Linked DNA regions of Schizosaccharomyces pombe. Changing the gene in region 2 together with the main gene of any one other region gives a genetic interaction. Each region holds a gene or a part of one and is shown on either strand. Other genes may lie near its edges.

Region 1 (8,194 bases), on a different chromosome or scaffold from region 2:
AACCCCCAAGGTTGAAAAGCAAGAGAAGCCCAAGCAGCCCAAGGGCCGTGCTTACAAGCGTCTTCTCTATGTTCGTCGTTTTGTCAACGTTACCAACATGGTCGGTGGCAAGAGAAGAGTAAGTATTAAAATTTAATACAGTTGTTGAAATTCAATTCAGATTAGCGAGTACTTGATACGTTGATTGAAACATTCGTGTTATTTATATTATTGTTGATTAATTGCTAACTTAATTTTTCAGATGAATCCTTCTTCTTAAGCAGTTCGCACGCTTTTTCTGGCTGTATTATTAAAACTCCTTTACATACCTTACGAAATGAGTTAAATAAAAGAACTTGCTCACCATTTTTTAAATTATCTTTTTGTAATAGTCCTTTATCGTCTTCATGTATACTTCCATTTTCTAGTAAATTTTTTCTCATAGTACCCGATAGAAGACCTGTATAAAGGAGGTTAATTAAATATCTGGCTTATTCAAGCTTTTAAAAAATGTGTAAAAAAGACATTAGTTATCTCGGTACTTACCATGCTTGAGGCTGGGCGTTATCCATTGGCCATTCCGGTGAAAAGCAACATTAAATATTGTTGCTTCTGTTACAAACCCTTGATGGTTGTATAACAGAACGTCTTGTGCTTTTGAGTATTGGGCATCATTGCGGTTCATTGCTTCAATGTAAATTGCTCGGTTGGTCATCTTATTAATGCAGGACGGGTTTTTCTCGGTAGAACTTGGTTGCTTATCCAGAATTAATGTGTACGGTGCTTTTTCTAAAGTTTGAATAGGAACAATTTGAACAGTAACGTCTCCAGCTTTAGAAAGTTCCCACCTTACCTATTATGTTTAGATCAATGTATAAAGTTTATAGCAAGCATACTTACCCTTGCCATGGAAGTATCCTGAACCGCTTCTCGTAATTTATTTTCGATGTATTGCTCTCCAGGCCAAGAGTATCCAAGAGACTTTGCCGAAGCTTTCATTCGCTGCAAGTGGCTTGGCAGCAAAAACAGTTCTCCATCATAGAGAGTGGTTTCAAATAAATTTGATTCTTCCATTCCACTGTGCTGGTCAGAATTATTCTAAAGTAAAAAAACCCAAAGAGTAGAAAGACTTAGAATTTCATATTTATTGACAATAGAATTTAGTGACAAAAATTCAAAAACTTACAAACTAAATCCTTGACTATACTACTTATCAACTGATGTAGTTAGTGGTAGCAAAAATCGATTGCTCAGGCACAGTATATTGTGTGTAAGTTGTATAGTAGTGGAGAAACTTCGAAAAAATATCAACAGAAGAGAGAACTTATGAGTAGCACACTTAGAAAATTGGACACCTCGTTGGTTTTTATTTATTTATTTATTTTTTTAAAATGAAGTCGAATCCATGCCATTACTACTATTACTAAATTAACAAAACAGCCATTTTAAATATTTGCATATGATAAATTTTGTAAACACTATAATATAATTTATTGGTGTTTAATAGTTCGAATGCAAAGTTGAAATACTTAAACAACAAGGCATTTAATTAAATAGATTAATTTTTAAGATTCAATTTATTAGCTTAGATGAATTTTTTAGTATGTTTGACTAGTTCTGTGTCATATAACTTTGGCAGCTACCAATCTCCCACTGTGTTACTTTCGACGTCGGTCCTTCGTTATTTAACATTCTTTAAATCTATTCCTTTTTTTGAGGTTTTTTATTTATCCTTTTTGAGGACTTAACTGTGGCAAGGAGTTTCTTCTCCTGTTTTATACATTTCGCGTTCGCGCTTTAGAACATTCAATCAATATGTCTTCTAGAAACGCTTCAATTGCTAATGGTTTGTCAAGGGGTTACTTCTTTGAACTAATATTTTAAAACAGAAAGAACTGATGAGGCAAGGATGTTTAATTTTTATGAAAAAATGCCTAAAGATACAAACACAGTGCGTGTATTTGATCGAGGGGTAAGTATTGATGAATAGAAAAATTTACTTAAACTTCGTAAAAAATAACTTGAAATATTATTATTTTTTAATCCAATCTAACACTGTTTTCTAGGAATTTTACGTTGCAATAGGAGAAGACGCTTCGTTTGTTGCTCAAAACGCGTATCACACTACTTCGGTGCTAAAACACCACAATGTGTCTAATACATCTTATTGTAACTTATCTCCTTCACTATTTATTAAGTTTGCGGAAGATGTTTTAAGCAACCTTGCAAAGAGAGTTGAAATTTGGGGAGCCAATTCCGCAAAGACAGGATTTGAATTGTTGAAGCAAGCTAGTCCTGGAAATATGCAAATGCTGGAAGATTTGCTTGTTAGTGAGAATTATCAAGAATCCACAGCCATTAGTGATAGCTCAGTTAGTTCGGTTTTGTTGGCTGTTACTACTAGGGTTAAACAAGATCAGCGAATAATTGGCGTTGCTTTTATAGATCCAATTTTAAAAAAATTAGGTGTTTCAGAATTTGTTGACTCAGATGCTTATACGAACTTTGAAGCTCTCATAGTGCAAGTTGGAGCGAAAGAGTGCATAATATCGCAATCTGGGCATGAATCGACGAATGGCAATTCAGCCGTTTCTATTAACACGGCAGAAATCAATCGTCTTCGAAATATTATTGAAGGTTGTGGCGCATTAGTTACAACTATAAGAAGCTCTGAATTTTCGGCTCGAGATGTTGAACTTGAGCTCTCAAAAGTGCTCGACAGTCCAGTTACACATGCTCTTGTTCCAGAACTAGGTCTACAATTAGCAATGGCATCCTGCAATGCATTGCTTCGCTATTTAGGACCTGCGTTACTAAACCCTGACATGGAAGACGACCGTGAAAACACATCTCGAAAGCTCCATCTGTATCATCACAACTTGGAACAATACATGCGATTAGATATTGCAGCAGTTCGTTCTCTTAACCTACTTCCTCCTCCCAATGGTAATGCTCATAAAACAATGAGTCTTTATGGTTTACTTAATCATTGTAGAACTGCGATGGGAGCAAGGAATTTAAGAAGATGGATTGTTCAGCCACTTTTGGATGCAAAATCAATTGAACGAAGACATGACTTGGTCTCCGCACTTGTGGAAGATGCTGAGGCACGCCAGTTATTGCTTGATGATGATCATCTTCTTCGTTCAATTCCAGATATTCCTAAACTATGCAGGCGTTTAACTCGTGGATCAGCTAGTCTAGAAGATGTTGTACGTATTTATCAAATGGCAAAGGCACTTCCGAAGATCGTTACGGTACTTGACTCTTTGACTAGTGAACATAAAGATTTGGTGGATAAAGTATACACGAACGTCCTTAACAATCATTGCAAAAACTTGGAAAAATTAATAGAGCTTGTTGAAACCACCATCGACTTGGAAGCATTGGATTCACATCAGTATATTATCCGTGCAGAGTTTGATGAGGAGCTATTAGATTTGCGTCAACGATTAGACGAATTACAGCATTCTATCTTTGAAGAACATAAAAGGGTCGGTTCAGATCTCCACCAAGATACCGAGAAAAAATTACATCTTGAGCAACATCACCTCTATGGATGGTGTCTACGCCTTACTAGAACAGAAGCTGGCTGTTTAAGAGGCCGTAGTTCTCATTATACAGAATTATCAACTCAAAAAAATGGAGTCTACTTTACCACTAAACGTCTTCATTCACTAAACAATTCTTATATGGATCACCAAAAAAGCTACCGGTACCACCAAAATGGGCTTGCACGTGAAGTTATAAAGATAGCTGCAACATACGGTCCTCCTTTGGAGGCGATTGGCCAAGTAATTGCTCATTTGGACGTGATTCTAAGTTTCGCACATGCAAGTACGGTAGCTGTAATACCTTATGTAAGACCAAATATTGTGGATTCAAGCATTGCACAAGAAAAGCATGGACAAAGTAGCAATATTTTGGACATTGTTTCATTAGAAGATACTCCTAATTTTGAAGAAATACGAAGAACTCTAGAAAATAATCATTGTGCTCGTCTCTACCTAAAACAAGCGCGACATCCTTGTTTGGAAGCTCAGGACGATGTGAAGTTCATACCCAATGATGTTAATCTTGAGCATGGAAGTTCAGAGCTATTAATCATAACCGGACCAAATATGGGTGGAAAATCAACGTATATCCGTCAAGTTGGAGTTATTACCGTCATGGCACAGATTGGTTGTCCAGTGCCTTGTGAAGTGGCTGATCTAGATATTATTGATGCTATCCTTGCACGTGTCGGAGCCAGCGACTCACAGCTTAAAGGCATTTCTACTTTCATGGCCGAAATGTTGGAGACCGCTACGATTTTGAGAGCTGCCACACCGCGATCCTTAATCATCATTGATGAATTAGGACGAGGGACTAGCACAACCGATGGTTTTGGATTAGCGTGGGCTATTACAGAACACATCGTGACTCAAATCGGTTGCTTTTGCCTTTTCGCAACACATTATCATGAAATGACCAAACTATCAGAAGAAATCACTACTGTCAAAAATTTGCATGTTACAGCCTATGTAGGTGATTCAGAATCGAAGGATGTAGCTTTACTCTATAATGTTTGTGAAGGAGCTAGTGATCGGAGTTTTGGAATCCATGTTGCTAAACTTGCGCACTTCCCTCCCAAGATTATTGAAATGGCAAGCAACAAAGCCGCAGAATTAGAAGCTGAAGACTCTGGAGCCCAAGGGGATACTCAAGAAGTGAAATCTAAAAAAGAAGGTATGGCAATTGTACGTGATATAATGAGACAATGGCGTAGCAACGTCAAACCAGAAATGACTCAGCAACAAATGATGGACCAATTTCAAAAAGTCATCGGCTCATTCGCACAGCAAATCAATTCCAACAACTGGCTACAATCCAGGGTATCCACAAATGAGGTTTCCTCATGAAGAATGTGAGCAAGGTACTAATTGAAAGAATTCAACCAAGGTACATGTTTTTTGGAAGCGCATTTTATGAATAAAATAATTTTTTACTAAAACGAGGAAAAGCCATAGATCAATGAATTTTATAACCCAAAACTGTTTCATTTGCCATAATAACCAAATAAAAAGATATAAATGGGAAACGAACCACTAGTTTTCCAATTAATCACAGCTTGCACAACCATTACAACCTATTTTCATTAGCAACTGGTAGCAATAGCACTTCTTTACTTACCACAATGAGTACATCTCACACGTTGATCTTTATCAAGTTTTGATTTAGGTACACGACATATACACGTTGAACCAAATTTTGACTCAGCGGTTTGAATACAGCGCAGACAACAAAGTTTCTCGTATCCTGGTTTTTTCCATTTGGCGATTAAATTTCCATCGGCATAATTTTGTTTTAGCAGCCAGTTGTAAAGTTCGGTAGATATGGCTTCCCGTTTGTAGTATAAATCGTATATATAACGACTGCGCTGATGATGAAGTTGAAAAATCGGTGCTAGCATTTCCGTCTTAGTTCCCTTTCCCATTGTATTCTCAATTTGACGCATACGATCTTGGAATTCAATAAGGGTGGGTTCTATTTCATCAAATCCGTCAGGAGGGCTATAGCTAATTAGAATCTTACTTCGTAGGTAAAAATAAAGGTAACAAGGAAAATACTTGGTATACATACCGCTTGGTTCTTGACGTTCGAAGACGAGGCATGATAACAGAATATTTTTTAAGCAAACTACGACTTTTCTTCAATAAACCAACACAGAATAAGGAATGCTTGCTTTAAAGAGATTAAATATAAAGAAACCGATAAAATGAAATCTAGTGATGGGTAGTTTTTATCCTTTTACTTATTTGGTGGTAGTGTACTTATGGGCAAGTTGGATTTGTGAGAATCCAGTGTAAATTCCTTGTAAAATAGACTGCCGCGATTGAAACTGTTGCAAGATATTCTTAACTATAGAAACTAAGTTTTTTCTCCGTTAATTAAATTATAGCCTCTTCAATTGAGGATAATTGAGAATTTTTGAATTTGTGTCTCCACTATATTTTATACCTTAACATATGGCCAAAAGGGAACCAGATGCATTTGTATACTATAATACTACAATACTGTTTTCATGGTATAACATTGACGCTCTGTTGTGTTGACTACTAATCATATATTAAAGTTGATTATCGATGGATATTAGCGAGAATTTTGTCTATTGAATACTAGGCTCGATAATGAGAAAGCGGCAATTAAACCTTCCCTAACCTCCACATGGAGTTCACGGATGTGTTTTATAATTTAGAGAATGAAAAGCAATTTTTGGCGGGTATGCAATTTATTCATAATTGTAAACTTGAATGTGCCTGGGATTCATTATCCTGGCTAAATAGTATTCCCGTTGACGCTAACATTTGGTGACAGAAATTGACGAACTTTTAACTATACCATACGAAAAAAATGAACTGGAAATTGGTGTTTCAAAGTTTCTTTCTTTTATCAACAAATATGGAGGTAATGTTTTGGAGAATTGGGGAAGCACAATTTTCCGTGTTTTTCCTATGGATGAAATACAAAGAAATTGAGTGTTTGTCTCTTTATAGAACATCTTATCTAACAAAATAAATTCAATAGAACCGTACCTAATTACAGAATTCCAATTGCAGAGATGTATGGAAAAGTTCCTCAATAGTCCGCTTTATCAACTAGACGAAAACGCCGTTTTAAGTATTTTCTATGATTGCTTTTTTTTCTTGAAAGAACAACAAACTTTGAAATTCATAATCATTGTCTTTCAATCCGAAATTCAAGAGAATGAGTACTGCTTGCGTTTGTTGGCTTCTACGGGGTTCATTCCCGTCTTGATCAAGGCAATGAAACAGTTCAAGGATCGTTCAGAAAATGTTGCTTTTACATCTTTTCGTTATGCTTTATTCTTAGTGTACTATATTTGTCGCTCGAGACGACTTTCACCGACCGACTTAGTCGCAATTGATGAATATTTTTTAGTAAACCTATTCAAAACGTCGGAAGAAGCTTGGAATGATGAGGACATGGACAGTTTTGGAATGTGCGTCTTGACATTGCTTAGCATCAATGAACAGTTTATGCTTGTTCGGCTTGCTTCCAAAGGTTCGTTTGAAATCGCAAATGGCATAATGGATTTGCTGAGCTCTTCCAAAGTGGATAACGGTATCTACAGTGAAGGCCTAGTTTTCACTCTAAATCGAGAAAAGGATCCACGCTCTCGAATGTTAATACTAAAACAACTATTCCTTCTTTTTACAACTCCCGCTACGTATGAGATATTCTATACCAATGATCTCAATGTCCTAATTGATATATTCATACGCGAAATAAACAATATTCCCGATGAGCTTTCGGATCTTCGGTATGCATATTTGCAAGTTTTGATTCCTTTGCTTGAAAATACACAGGTGCGCCATCCACCTCATTACAAAACTAAGTGTATAGTCGACGCGGTCAATAATGTCTTAATTTCTCACTCAAAAAGCAGCAACATGGAAGATGCACGTACTACAGATGTTGCCATACGTGTTTTAGAAGTACCGTGGCTTCAACAAGAGATGAAGTCATTAGGAACCGCTCAATAATTTTTATTCTACTACTGAAAAACTTTTTATTTTTTTAAAGCACCTCACTCGTTTCCTTCATTTATTGTCAGATCAACCAAAAAGAATTGCAAATTTTAACCAATCTCCTTTCCACTCTTTTTTTTAATACTTTCTCTCTCCTTTTGCCAGTCTGTTGTTTTTTGAAAAGCCAGTTTTGGCGTATTACTTCTTGCAGAAAATTGATAAAACTTGGAGAAATTTCTTTGGAATGCAAAGAAAATGCTAAAAGTTTAAACACTGCAATTTTCATATCAATGAATAGAAAATCTCTAGTTAGACATATCCATTGCAAAAGAAGAAGTGAAGAAAATTTTTAAATAACAAACGTGAAGAATGGCATAAACTAATATAGGAATGCTTAATTAATAATACCCCTATCAATCATCTAACATTTTCTGTAACTTTCGGTGATCGTAAATGTGCAAGTTAGACAACGTAATTTAGATTCATCGTCGTCTTTGAAAAAATAGGTGATTATTCGTAAACACAAAACTTTCTTTTGAAAGGGTTCAGTTAAAAATTTCACCATCAAAAATGAAAGAACAGAGTAAACAGAGGAAGGGCAGGAAAAAAAAAATACCGCTTTGTTTGATTTGCCAAAGTTGAAGATGAGTAATAAGTACTTAAGCATAAAAATGAAAACATAT
Region 2 (7,188 bases):
TTCCAACGCTCTATGCATTTTCAACCTGGCGATAACGTGGTATTATTAGATGGAGAGCACCCTAATCATGGCTTTGGATGGATTTCCCTTCAAGAAGCTGGTTTAGAAGTTCGATTAATACCGTCTAAAGATATATATTATGCTGATGCCTCAACGTTTGAACCGTATGTAGATGAAAAGACAAAAGCAATTGGCATATCATCTGTCATGTTCCATTCGGGACAGCTAAATAACGTGAAAGACATTTGCAATAAATTTCGGCCTGAAAACATTCATGTATTAGTCGACATGACCCAACAGGTTGGGTTAAGCAGCATAGATGTTCAGGAATTAAATGTTTCTGCATGCGCATTTGCATGTCATAAAGGTTTAAGCTGTCCGACTGGTTTGGGAGTATTATATGTTGCTCCCGATGTGCTTCCACAACTTAAAAATGTACCTCCAATTGTTGGAGCTGGAGCCATTGAAAATCTTGATGCAAATTTACTAGTCAATCTGAATCCTATTTATTTTTCTACGGCTCGAAGATTTGAACATTTGAACAAGTCGCTGATTACTACTCTGTGTTTGAACAATTACCTTAGCTTCTTAATGGACATCGGTTTTGAAAATATAGAACAATATCTTCGTGAACTTGGAAAGTCGCTGGTTGATGAGCTATCCAAGCTTGGTGTAACAATTATCGGCTCAAAGGATCCAAAGAAAAGGTCTACCCACTCTTACGTTGCGAAAATCTTGAACCCTGAGTGGGATGCATTTCTCAAAAACGAAGGTGTGTACGCTTCTCAATATAGAGATGGGATTCGACTTTCTTTGGGTCTTTACAACAATGCTGCCGATATTTCGAGGTTAGCCAATACCATCAAGAAAGGAGTTCTCAATAAGATACCCTTTAATTAAGAGGACGATTCTGTGTTGGACCTAAGTGAAAAAGTTAGATTGCTACACGTGCGGGGTTTTCACAAATTCATACGAGGCTGTTTTAGCACGATTACTTTATTTGCGTGTTCATACAGGATCAAGTAGGATTTATTCATTTTATTAGTCAATTAGCTTGTACAGCAGAGCTTTAAAATAATCTCATAATATTAATAATTACTATCTTAAGCTGAAAATAAATATAGATAGAATATTTTTTACACCGTATGCACATATAGATAGGTAAAAAAAAAATCTTTTAAATAGAAAAAAAGGTAAAAGCATGACTTATAAGGAAGTACAGAAACTTGGTAAATTTTTTAAAATTGAGGACCTCCAAAAATTGATTGGAAATCACCCAAATCATTAAGGTTGAAGAAGTTTGATTCGTCGTTAAAGAGTTGAATCAAATTCTCATCATGGCTAATTTGGAAATCATGAGTGTTTTGCTTATCATTTGAAAAATCAACATCGGTATCGTTTGCTCTAGCATTGGTATCATACATCGTAGATTTCTTTTGTATAAGGTTTATAGATTTAGAAGCTAAATCCCAGTTCTTTGAAATTTTAGTTAGCACGTGAAGAAAAAACTTTATATCTTGTTCTAATGCCACAATTTCACTAGGAGTAGCCCCATCAAAAAGCATAAAAACGGTGCTGCAGCTTACAATACAGGCATAGACAATAATCAGAGGGGTGTGATGCAAACCAAGGTTTTCTCTGTAGGCCCGAATGAGCACTTTGACGTCTTCAATAGAGTCTATGCATATGTTTCTAGGAGTCATGTCATTAACGTAAAGCCCTTTCTTTGATAAAAATGGTCTATTCAGACAAAGTCTTATTAAAAAAAAATATAAACAGAGAAAGCACAACTCCGGAGATTGTCCAAAATCTCTTAATTCGGTTTTTTTCCAACTTAAGTTCGGTGGTAGCTCAAAGTGCCATTTCATCAACTCCAAGTTATATTTTCCAACATTTTGCAGTCTGAGATCAATACCGTACTTCGTACTGTAAGGTGCGAAGACATTGAGTAGAATGGCATCGGTAATATTGGATAAGCTCACTATTAGATTCAGAAGCTGAGAAATTGTAATAGACGATGCGTGGGCTCCGCCTCTTTCCAACATGAAATCCTCAATGCCTGAAAAGTCTGGTAAATCATCTGAAGTAGGAACAGAGGTGTCTGACTTGCTCAACGTAGTAGGTCTACCCAAAATAAAGCTAACAAAAACATCTGCAACGTAACAGCCCCAATATATCCTGCTTCGTAAAGCAGCTTGTTCCTCAGATACAACCGGAACGTTATTAATGTGCCAATCTCTTGGATCCAAATGAAACCCTAAATCTTGTCCCATGCGAAATGCCATACCGCATAACAACCAGCCATGCGAAGTATTACCCATTGCGATTTTATAAAAACCTAGGCAGAGTAAGCACTGAGCAGAAGTTATATGTGAATTCTCGAGCCCATAACTCTCTAAGGCATCCCATGCCATTTTATAAAAAGCATCTGCTTGGTTGACAAGCAGCGAGTCTTCAGACGACCGACAACCTATGGCGCATAACGCATAAATCAGGTGTTCTGAACAATACATGTTATCATTAGAGCGATGAAAATATTCGAAGAGGAAGGATTCGCGATGGATAAACAAAAACTGAGCGTACTGCCATTTGAAGAATAGCTGTAGGCAATGTATTATCGGATAAGTATCTTCAATGGAAGCAGAAGGTGGAGGTCTTGGGGATGAAGTAAATGAAGTTCCGAAGATGCTTGTAGGGCCATAAAACGTAACCGTGTTTCTACCACGGACTTCTAACGAAACAGGAAGGTCTACTAGTGATTTGCTAGTCGCATTTGTGTCCGCTTGCTCATAGCTTGTTTTATTCGGAAGGGATGCTGAGAGATGGTCTTTGAAAGATATGCCAGCCAAGAGACTTGGAATTTTCTCTACCGGGGCAACTTTGATCTTTGCCAAAGTTGATTCCATATTTGCCAACTGACTTTCCAAAGCCTCGACATAGGTTTTTGTATGCCTCTTCTTCCGATTGTCGCCCGCAATTATGCATTCTCTTTTCGCAACAAAGCAGTTATGACACGGGCGATTTTTATCGCACTTTATCTATTTCAAGACAGCAAGTTAGAATGAGAACTTGACTTTGTAAGTTTCAAAGCCGGATAGTTTGATATCCTATCTTAATTACCTTTCGCCTTCTACAATAAAGGCATCTAGTGTAACGTTAATAAGTTTATACTTCAAAATCAAATGCTAATAATTGACAACAATCCTTGAGCCTTACGATAATTTATTCATAGTCAGCGTAAATTATTTCCCAACTATACTCTCGCCAGTCAAATAGAAAACCGGTTTTATAATTTACTACCAAATAATTAACTCATAAAGATGCAGAAGTTACTAACTATAGTAACATAATGTATACAGGTAGTGTGTAGTTGGGATGGGATGCGCAGTTACCAAAAGGACCTTACTGAGCGAGGGATTTACTTTGTACATTTAAAGTAATATATTTAAATTAGAAAACTTTTACAATCTTCCATTCAACCTTTTGAATATAATTGTCAAGCTTGCCATGTGTGCTGAACTTTTTAAATGTCTTCTGGTGATAGTACGATTAAAACGAGCATTTTGGACAATAAATTCAATTACAACTATTATCATAGATTAAGTTGTAATCAGATACATGAAGAAATAACTTCAGTATTCCGATGCGGCGATCAATCTCCTTGCCGCTGAAACGAACATTTTCACAAGCCAGTCTGATAGATTAAAATGCAAATTCATCGGTCTTTAATAGCCGTTTTCAGCGTATAAATACTCCAAAGCCAATGCTTAATAAAGGCTTAAAACCAATTTTAGAAATTGTTCAAGAGCGTAGAAATGCAACAGTCACCCACCGCAGGCAAGGTAAGTTAAATAAAAACAGAGTCTTGCTTATTAAAACAGATCATTAACTGTAAAGCTGCTGTAGCATGGCAACCAGCAGCTCCACTGTCGATTGAAAATGTTCAGGTATTTCCCCCACGAGTGCACGAAGTAAGAATCAAAATCGTAAATTCAGGAGTCTGTCACACTGATGCCTACACACTCTCTGGAAAAGATCCTGAAGGTCTTTTCCCAGTAATTCTTGGTCATGAAGGTGCTGGCATTGTTGAATCCGTTGGTCCTCAAGTTACGACAGTCCAAGTAGGAGATCCAGTGATCGCCTTGTATACACCAGAATGTAAGACGTGTAAATTTTGCAAGTCCGGCAAGACGAACCTTTGTGGACGCATTCGCACTACTCAAGGAAAAGGTTTAATGCCGGACGGAACCAGCCGCTTCTCCTGTAATGGAAATACCTTGTTGCATTTCATGGGATGCTCGACATTTAGTGAATATACCGTTGTAGCAGACATATCAGTGGTAGCAATTGAACGATTGGCACCCTTAGATAGCGTCTGTCTTCTCGGTTGTGGTATCACCACTGGCTATGGAGCCGCGACGATCACTGCTGATATTAAGGAGGGTGACTCAGTAGCTGTTTTTGGTTTGGGAAGTGTTGGGCTAGCTGTTATACAAGGAGCAGTTAAAAAACGTGCGGGCCGGATTTTTGGCATAGATGTTAATCCCGAAAAAAAAAATTGGGCGATGAGTTTTGGAGCCACTGATTTCATTAACCCTAATGATCTCCAAAGTCCAATTCAAGATGTACTAATACATGAAACAGATGGTGGATTAGACTGGACCTTTGATTGTACAGGTAATGTGCACGTAATGCGATCCGCTTTAGAAGCATGCCATAAAGGTTGGGGACAATCCATTGTTATCGGTGTAGCAGCTGCCGGACAAGAAATTTCCACCAGGCCGTTCCAACTTGTTACTGGTCGAGTATGGAGAGGATGTGCATTTGGAGGTGTGAAAGGACGAAGTCAGCTTCCCGATTTGGTGAAAGAGTACCTAGATCACAAATTGGAAATTGATAAATATATCACACATCGTCGACCTCTCAAAGAAATCAATGAAGCATTCACTGACATGCATAACGGCAATTGCATTAAAACAGTTTTATCGATTCCTTGAAGAATTTAATAAAGAGTCAAAAAGTCAATAAATAGCATCTAGGTTCTTTCATTTGCTTACCAGCCATCTAAAACTTTAACCTCTTTCCCGTTCATGCTATTGCTAATCACCTAGAGAGCTAATGGAGAAGGCAGTCAGCCATACGAAATTGAATTAGTCATTACAAGAATTTCCAAGTTGTCATTGAGAATCGATAAACTAGTGATACCAAAGAAGTCTATTAATGTCTCAATTCTGTATGGAATTCGAGTAATGCATCTTTAACGTGTGAATAGCAGCAATGTTCCAAATTCTTAAGACGAGCATGCCTTTGAAGAAATAAATTTATAAATATTGTATTTGTTCATAGCCGTGCCTACAAAGAGAAATTTCTATCATTGAGGTTGAACAAGCATATGCATCCATCTTAGAACATGATAAAAACTTCTTGAATCTATAATAAATGGCGTTTCGACATGTCAGGCAATATCACTTTGGAGCCCTTCATTACAATTTGTAGTTGTAGGATGGATTTAGAGATAATTGTGCAAAACTCACGGGGTACAGGATCAATGTATGAAAGACGTTTTAAGCGAGTATCATTTGACTAAAATCTCATAAAGGTTTTTCTTTCTGTGAATCGAAAGTGATATATGAAGGAAAGCAAAGTTATGAAATATATGTTAGGAGAAGTGAAAATGCTAATGCCATGTAACAATGTTAAAGGTATCCTCCATTTAGTAATTAGAAAGTGCCATTGATTAAATGCGCGTGACTTTTTAGTTTTAAGAGGACGAACAGGTAAAATTAATGAGTATATCTTTTGTTAGCAAAATCAAAGACACCCATTTTGCCATCGCATGAAATGTTTAAGAATGAAAACGAACAGAAAGTTGATTAACCGTAAATATCATTAAGTTCTTAAAAAGGGGTTATGAGTTACAAACAGTTTTACGTTGTTTGTACTAAGTATGGAATGACTTTTGTTATAAAATGAGAAATTGTAAAAGAGCAGTGCTAAGAATGGTATTATCGTATTATATGGAATCATAGAATCATCAGTTTGTTTAATGTAGCGGTGGAACGAGGCTGACTCTTTGCGTTCGCATTTTGACCAACTGGAGAATTGGGAAATATTGAACTAATGGAACTCTACAGCGAAAGGACTGTGTGTCGCATCGCTTTGATATCGATAACTGATTATTATCTTGAAAATGATAGGTAATTTATTGCCTATCAAGCCTCATATAATAGAGCGGTCAATGATCACCGATGGAATGTTGAAACTTCAACACGTTTATATATAAAAGTTCGAACGTTAGGAAGGCTGTTGGTGGGCTAAAAGGAGGAAAAATTAAAATAATAATAACGAATATGTCTTTTCAAATATTACCTATCCCAATGTGGGTAGGAACTCAAGATAATTATGCATATCTTTTGTTGTGCGAGGAAACTCGACAAGCAGCGATTGTTGATCCAGCCGAAGTAAATGTGTAAGTATTAATTATCGAAAGCTATTCATGAGAAACGGAAGAATTTTTATCACTTGACACTGGTGTTATATAGCCAAGAAGACATGACAGGCATGGCTCCCAGAGAAAGTGTTTAAGTTTGACTGAATAATCCAAAGCTTGGAATTGATCTTTTTTATTCAATTCTATGCTGACAAAGCTCCAGGGTAATGCCAATTTTGAAGAAAAAGTTGAAGAACAAGGAGATTGATTTGCAAGCCATCCTCACAACTCATCACCATGCAGACCATTCTGGAGGGAATTTGAATCTTAAAAAAGAATTCCCTCATGTTACAATTTATGGAGGCTCTGATCAAAATGGTGTTTCTCATGTGTTGCAGGATAAAGAAACATTGCGAATTGGAAACGTTCAGATTGAAGCTCTCCATACGCCTTGCCATACACGTGATAGCATTTGCTTTTATGCGCACAGCTCAAATGAACATGCTGTATTCACTGGGGATACATTGTTTAACGCAGGATGTGGACGCTTTTTTGAAGGAACGGCTGCTGAAATGCATATTGCATTGAACGCAGTACTATCATCTTTACCCAATAATACGGTCATCTATGTAAGCGATTCATTTTTATTTTTTTTTATTTTTTTTTATTTTTTTTTTCCTAACAAGTTTCCTAGCCTGGACACGAATATACAAAATCGAATGTGAAATTCGCCTCAAAACATCTTCAATCAGAGGCAT
Region 3 (4,827 bases), on a different chromosome or scaffold from region 2:
CGCAGATTTTACCATTATTGCAATTTCATTACTAGTGCAATATACTAAAGATTATCATTCCGAGATTGCTCAAATGCTTTGCTGCTCGCTTTGCTACCTTTGTTTATACGCGCAAAATTTAAACTCACATTCCAGCCAGAGTTTGTTTGAATTGTTTCAATCTGCTTCCTATCCAGGCTTTTTAATTTCTAACGACGTCAATCACAAAATTTTAAAGTATGTTATAGGAGCTATCAACAATGCAATTCAATATGCCCAAAAATACAATGCACCACTCTTATACTTCTTTTCAATGCACAAAGATTACATTGAAGCGGTCAGCGCTTTATCGTTTGATGCCATTATGAGTGTTAGAAACTCATCCGCGGAAGGAGATTCTGCATACTGGACTCGCAATGGTAAAACATTTTCTTCAAAAGCGTTTGACTCCATATTGTTAAGCCGACTTCGATATGTTAGGTCAAAAAGTCCAACGCCATATTATCCTATAGAAAGTAGTGAATTTGGTTTCACTAACCTCAAAGACGTTACTAGCAAAGATGAAATTACTGATGGATTCGATAAAGCACTTCGCTCCAATTCTTTACGTACTCACAGGGATAGTAGGCCTGTCCAACCATTGTTGAAGCAACGTCCTCAATTACATAGAGCTCTTACAGAAAGTGCCACACTCCATGGCAATGACCGTTCGTTAGAAGATACCGACGAAGCGAAGGTAGAGCCAATTGCTCATTCAGTAGATTACACTTTTAAGCCGACTGTAGAATGGTGGAATAAATGGTGGCCTTCGCTGAACTTCCGAACTATGCTCGATATTTTCACTGACCTATCTCTCAAAATCAGTGATATGAAGAAAGCCGGTCATCCAGCTTCAGAAATCATGGCTATGATAAAAACTCAAAAATACCCAGCAACTAATCAACCATACATTCCGAAATATAGAACAAAGGAATGGAGACAACAATTGGCAAATTTTGCTCGTCTATTCGCCTGGCAAGTCTCATGCGATTTAGACAGTCATAAAAGAGAAGGGCCAGGCATCTTTGAAGGTACGGATGTCAAAATATTTGACTCATTTTAGACTTGAAATCTCCTTGAGGATTATGCTTGAGCGGCATATCTCCGTTTTAAGAATTGAAATGGAGAAATTTGAACTATCCTAAGTTTTGTATGTTCAAAGAGTCTGTTTGAATAGATACTTGGCTTTTTACATCTGTTTTATTTTTTTATTATTTCTTTTCACAAATTGGTTAAAAAAATGTTGTTTCGTTTTTCATTCAGAATTACCACTAGTATGTTACTACTTTTATCGTTATTTTACATTCTCAGTAACTGTTTAGCATTTACTAAAAGATTTTATGTATACACCAGGGATTTATTCTTTGTAGTTTAATAGATAATAAATGCAAATGCCAAACAAATAATGCTTCGCAATAAACATCGGAAAATCAACTCAAGTTGAAATATATTTTTTTTTCAATTGAGCACACTACTCACATAACCAAAGAAAAATCAAAACTATTGATTATTTAACCAAAACCATACTTATGTAGCTCCCTTCTAAAGGCGAAAATTTTTCGACGTTTTCTTATTTGCTCAGTAAGGTTTTGCAGCTAATCGTTAGAACACTATCATTATACCAATTAATTTAATAGAAATACTTACGCAATTGAGTAAGTAGTACATGAAACCGTTTTTTCAGAGTATAACGTTGTCGAGAATATTTATCGTCAGGAGAGAAACGAGCAGGATGCGAAGATTTTGTGACTCTTCCATCTGGAGATACCTTTTTTAAAGTATAAACACGCTTTCCCTCATCATTTAAATAATACATCAAATGCATTGTGAAAAAAAAAACGGATATTACAATTTTCCTATGGTGCTGGAAAGGTGTAAATGTCAAAAGTACCTCAACTTCAGGTGACTGTTTTTGTTGCTAAATTACGCTAAAGCATTATAACACAGACATAATCAAATATTAAATTATTTAGCGACTCTCTTCTTTTATTATTCACTAAAATTTAAAAACAATACTGTAAGCAGAATAAGCAATATGGGGTTAAGGATATAGCAATCTTCGTAAAATTAAAACAGCTATTGTCATTATAATAAATTAGAATAAAATAATTTCTTTTAAAATCCGAGTTTTCAGCTATTAAGAAAATGCGATTAATTATTGACCAAATCAGATCCAACTATTTAGTTTACATCTTTAACATACGTTTGCTTGGAACATTTAGTAATTGCACCTTAGTACACTTAACTTATGGGTTATTAAACAAGGGAGTTAAACCTCTATTTTAAGCAGTTCGTTTTTGATTGTCTTTCTTTAGGGAAATATTATTTTTTTTTTTTTATTGCGCATCTAATTAAGATAGATAATTAATTGATGTCTTTGCTTTAATAATCACTCAAAGAATTGCTCTTTGTCTCCTTTTCAAACATATCCATTAACGTTTGACTAAGTTTGTTCCATGCAACCTCCCCCATTGAATTTTCAAAAAACAAAAGTAAATTAACCAACCGCGGTAGAAGACTGGATTCTGATAAATCATCGTCAGAATATCTTTGTACTCTGATATATTTCCTTGAACAATTGAATATATGGCTCAAATTATCATTCCTAATGATACACTGTAATCCACCTAACTTTTGCACTGCCTTTAAGCTTGATGGGTAAATTATGTACGGACATTGTTTGTGATTATATTTTAGTAACTTCTCTGCTTCTCCGAGATCCAGCGTTTTCCCCACATCTGTAATATGCCAACAGAGCATTCGAATCGGGTTGATCAATAGTCGAGATATAAACCAGTGCGAACTGAATGATTGGTGGTAAAGGCTATTTTCAAAATTTCTTTGCATAAATTTTAAAATAAGTTCTTGTATAGCGATTCTCTGTTTCGGTGTAAGCGACTTTTGTCGCTGATGAACAAATTCTGACAAGTATTGAAACAACGTTGATTCATTGTATTGCTGACTATGTAATTTTGTCAGAGCGATTCCTTTCCTGGAACAGAAAAACAAATTTTTCAGATGAGTAGAAGACATAATTTGATACAGACCACCCATTGCAGCTACAGCATGTAGATGGTATCGTTCCAAATGGAATGGATGGGCAAATGATTTAAGAAATAAGCGGTTTGCCTCCTGTAATACAACCATTTTTTTTGCAATCATTAAATAAGAAATCAGACATAAGGTTGGCTTAACCAACAAGCTAGCGAGCAACGTATTAAATGAAGAAGAAAAAGAATTATTGAAAAGTTCTTTTTCGGATAACTCTTTCCTGGCGACGTTAAACTTTGAAACATATAAATCAAAATTTTGGTATATAGTCTTTTCTGATTCAGGAATAGATAATATTGAAATTGACTCGTTAGATATTAATTTATTAGGAATCACAGTTTTTATGCTTCGAGTAAACTTGTAAGTTTCTTTTTTTGTCTCCTCGACATTTATTGTTTCGTATAAAGAGTCAATCATGGCATCCCAAACGTCCACTGGAACAATTTTCTTTCGATTTTTGGAAGATGAATATGCTAATAAAAAAATTTTTGCGACAAATAAGTCATCTTTTTCATTTTCTACAAATGCAAGCAAGTTTTTTTTTAAACCCATCAAGTAAACAGCGTTGTATAGACCTCCAATATACTTAATTGCTAATAAATTTCCTTTCGTGAATTGTTTTGAATGATTGCTTGCTGTGCTAACAGCTGTGTCTTCAAATTTCATGATTTTTTTACCGGATAAATCTTCAAAAACTATTTGAGAAAACATGAAGTGCAAAGGATCAACGAGTAAGCTTGTGAATGCCCAGCATTTTGATGAATTTTTCAACAAAAACTCGTCATTGTGCGAACTAACTTCAACGTAAACATCTTTGAAGACAGTATTAGTATTGATTGATGATTCTTTGAAAGAAACTTTGTCATTGGCGTTGGAAAGTATGGAAGCAATCCTTATATACAACTTTTCAGATGATACGACACTATCGTCAGTTGAAAGCAAAATAACTTTCTGAGCTGAACAGTAAAAAACATCAGTCAAATATTTTCGTATGAAACTTTGAAGAGAAACAAAATGGTAAAAAATGCTTTCAGGAATCAAGCTCTTCCAAATGTATTCAGCTTCATTTATACCAGTTAAGCAATTGGATCGTCTGGCATACCAATAGATAGCTTGAATTGCGTTTACAACAATAGATGTAAGTTTTTGGTTCTTTCTAAAATCAATGACGGGGACTGTAGCAGTAAGGTCATCATGTTTTTTTTTTTGCCAAGTTGAGTGAAATCGCCTATTGCAGCAATTGTTTGAAACAATGACTGAATTTATCAACGCATAGGTGGTTGCTGTAATTTTGAAGAAATCATTAGTATGCTTATAATTTGCAAAAATAACCTCATCGGCCTTCGATATTATTGCTTTGATTGGAAATCTGTCGCGCAGCTGATGAGAAAGCAAGTTCATTACGGGCCGCTCAAAAAGGTGGCTTTCTGGATTTTTTTAGAAAACTATCGTATACTGTTAGCAATCATTGAGTATTGACGACCGAGTATTAAAAATCTAAAGATTTCTTAATTAGTGTATATGAAGGAGAGGACAAGGTAGGTCCTTTGAAGTAGCTTTGTTGAGAATTTAATACAACAAAAAAAACACGCTTAGACGGTGCTTAAATAGGTTCAGTAATTCTTTCCTTTTTTTTGAATTATAAATAATCCTTAGTGAAAGAGAAAGTAATGAAGCACGTCAAATAACAATTTAATCTTACAGATTTACGTGGATAACCCTAAAGACAGTAACGGTGACCTTTTGTTTTACATTGTT

What was found.
Region 1: mutations in SPOM_SPCC777.02 (region 2) and cwf14 together harm fitness less than expected from each alone (positive genetic interaction), as found in Schizosaccharomyces pombe (one large-scale study listed by BioGRID).
Region 3: mutations in SPOM_SPCC777.02 (region 2) and nop10 together harm fitness more than expected from each alone (negative genetic interaction), as found in Schizosaccharomyces pombe (one large-scale study listed by BioGRID).

The regions. Positions count from the first base shown.
Region 1 is NC_003423.3:2,341,143-2,349,336, reverse strand, and holds cwf14 (G10 protein), read right to left. Parts: upstream 5,797-8,194; 5' UTR 5,634-5,796; coding exon 5,602-5,633; exon of another isoform or gene 5,532-5,601; coding exon 5,152-5,531; exon of another isoform or gene 5,108-5,151; coding exon 5,079-5,107; 3' UTR 4,881-5,078; coding exon of another isoform or gene 2,046-4,880; 3' UTR 2,037-2,045; downstream 1-2,036. Other genes in the region: rps3002 (40S ribosomal protein eS30), read left to right, coding at 1-118, 242-259; abz2 (4-amino-4-deoxychorismate lyase), read right to left, coding at 225-439, 526-832, 880-1,053; msh2 (DNA mismatch repair protein), read left to right, coding at 1,795-1,825, 1,869-1,951, 2,046-4,880; endocytosis protein Dip1, read left to right, coding at 6,187-6,241, 6,337-6,426, 6,547-7,526. UniProt on the Schizosaccharomyces pombe protein: Involved in mRNA splicing where it associates with cdc5 and the other cwf proteins as part of the spliceosome.
Region 2 is NC_003421.2:1,595,224-1,602,411, reverse strand, and holds SPOM_SPCC777.02 (transcription factor), read right to left. Parts: upstream 3,369-7,188; 5' UTR 3,231-3,368; coding exon 3,217-3,230; intron 3,146-3,216; coding exon 3,121-3,145; intron 3,106-3,120; exon of another isoform or gene 3,039-3,105; coding exon 1,239-3,038; 3' UTR 1,024-1,238; downstream 1-1,023. Other genes in the region: SPOM_SPCC777.03C (cysteine desulfurase nifs family protein), read left to right, coding at 1-900; fmd3 (glutathione-dependent formaldehyde dehydrogenase), read left to right, coding at 3,816-3,842, 3,882-4,997; SPOM_SPCC13B11.03C (hydroxyacylglutathione hydrolase), read left to right, coding at 6,351-6,469, 6,654-7,059, 7,125-7,188.
Region 3 is NC_003424.3:1,633,662-1,638,488, forward strand, and holds nop10 (snoRNP complex protein), read right to left. Parts: upstream 1,844-4,827; coding exon 1,666-1,843; exon of another isoform or gene 1,614-1,665; coding exon 1,597-1,613; 3' UTR 1,450-1,596; downstream 1-1,449. Other genes in the region: SPOM_SPAP27G11.12 (uncharacterized protein), read left to right, coding at 1-1,081; SPOM_SPAP27G11.14C (uncharacterized protein), read right to left, coding at 2,401-4,470. UniProt on the Schizosaccharomyces pombe protein: Non-catalytic component of the H/ACA small nucleolar ribonucleoprotein (H/ACA snoRNP), which catalyzes pseudouridylation of rRNA and is required for ribosome biogenesis.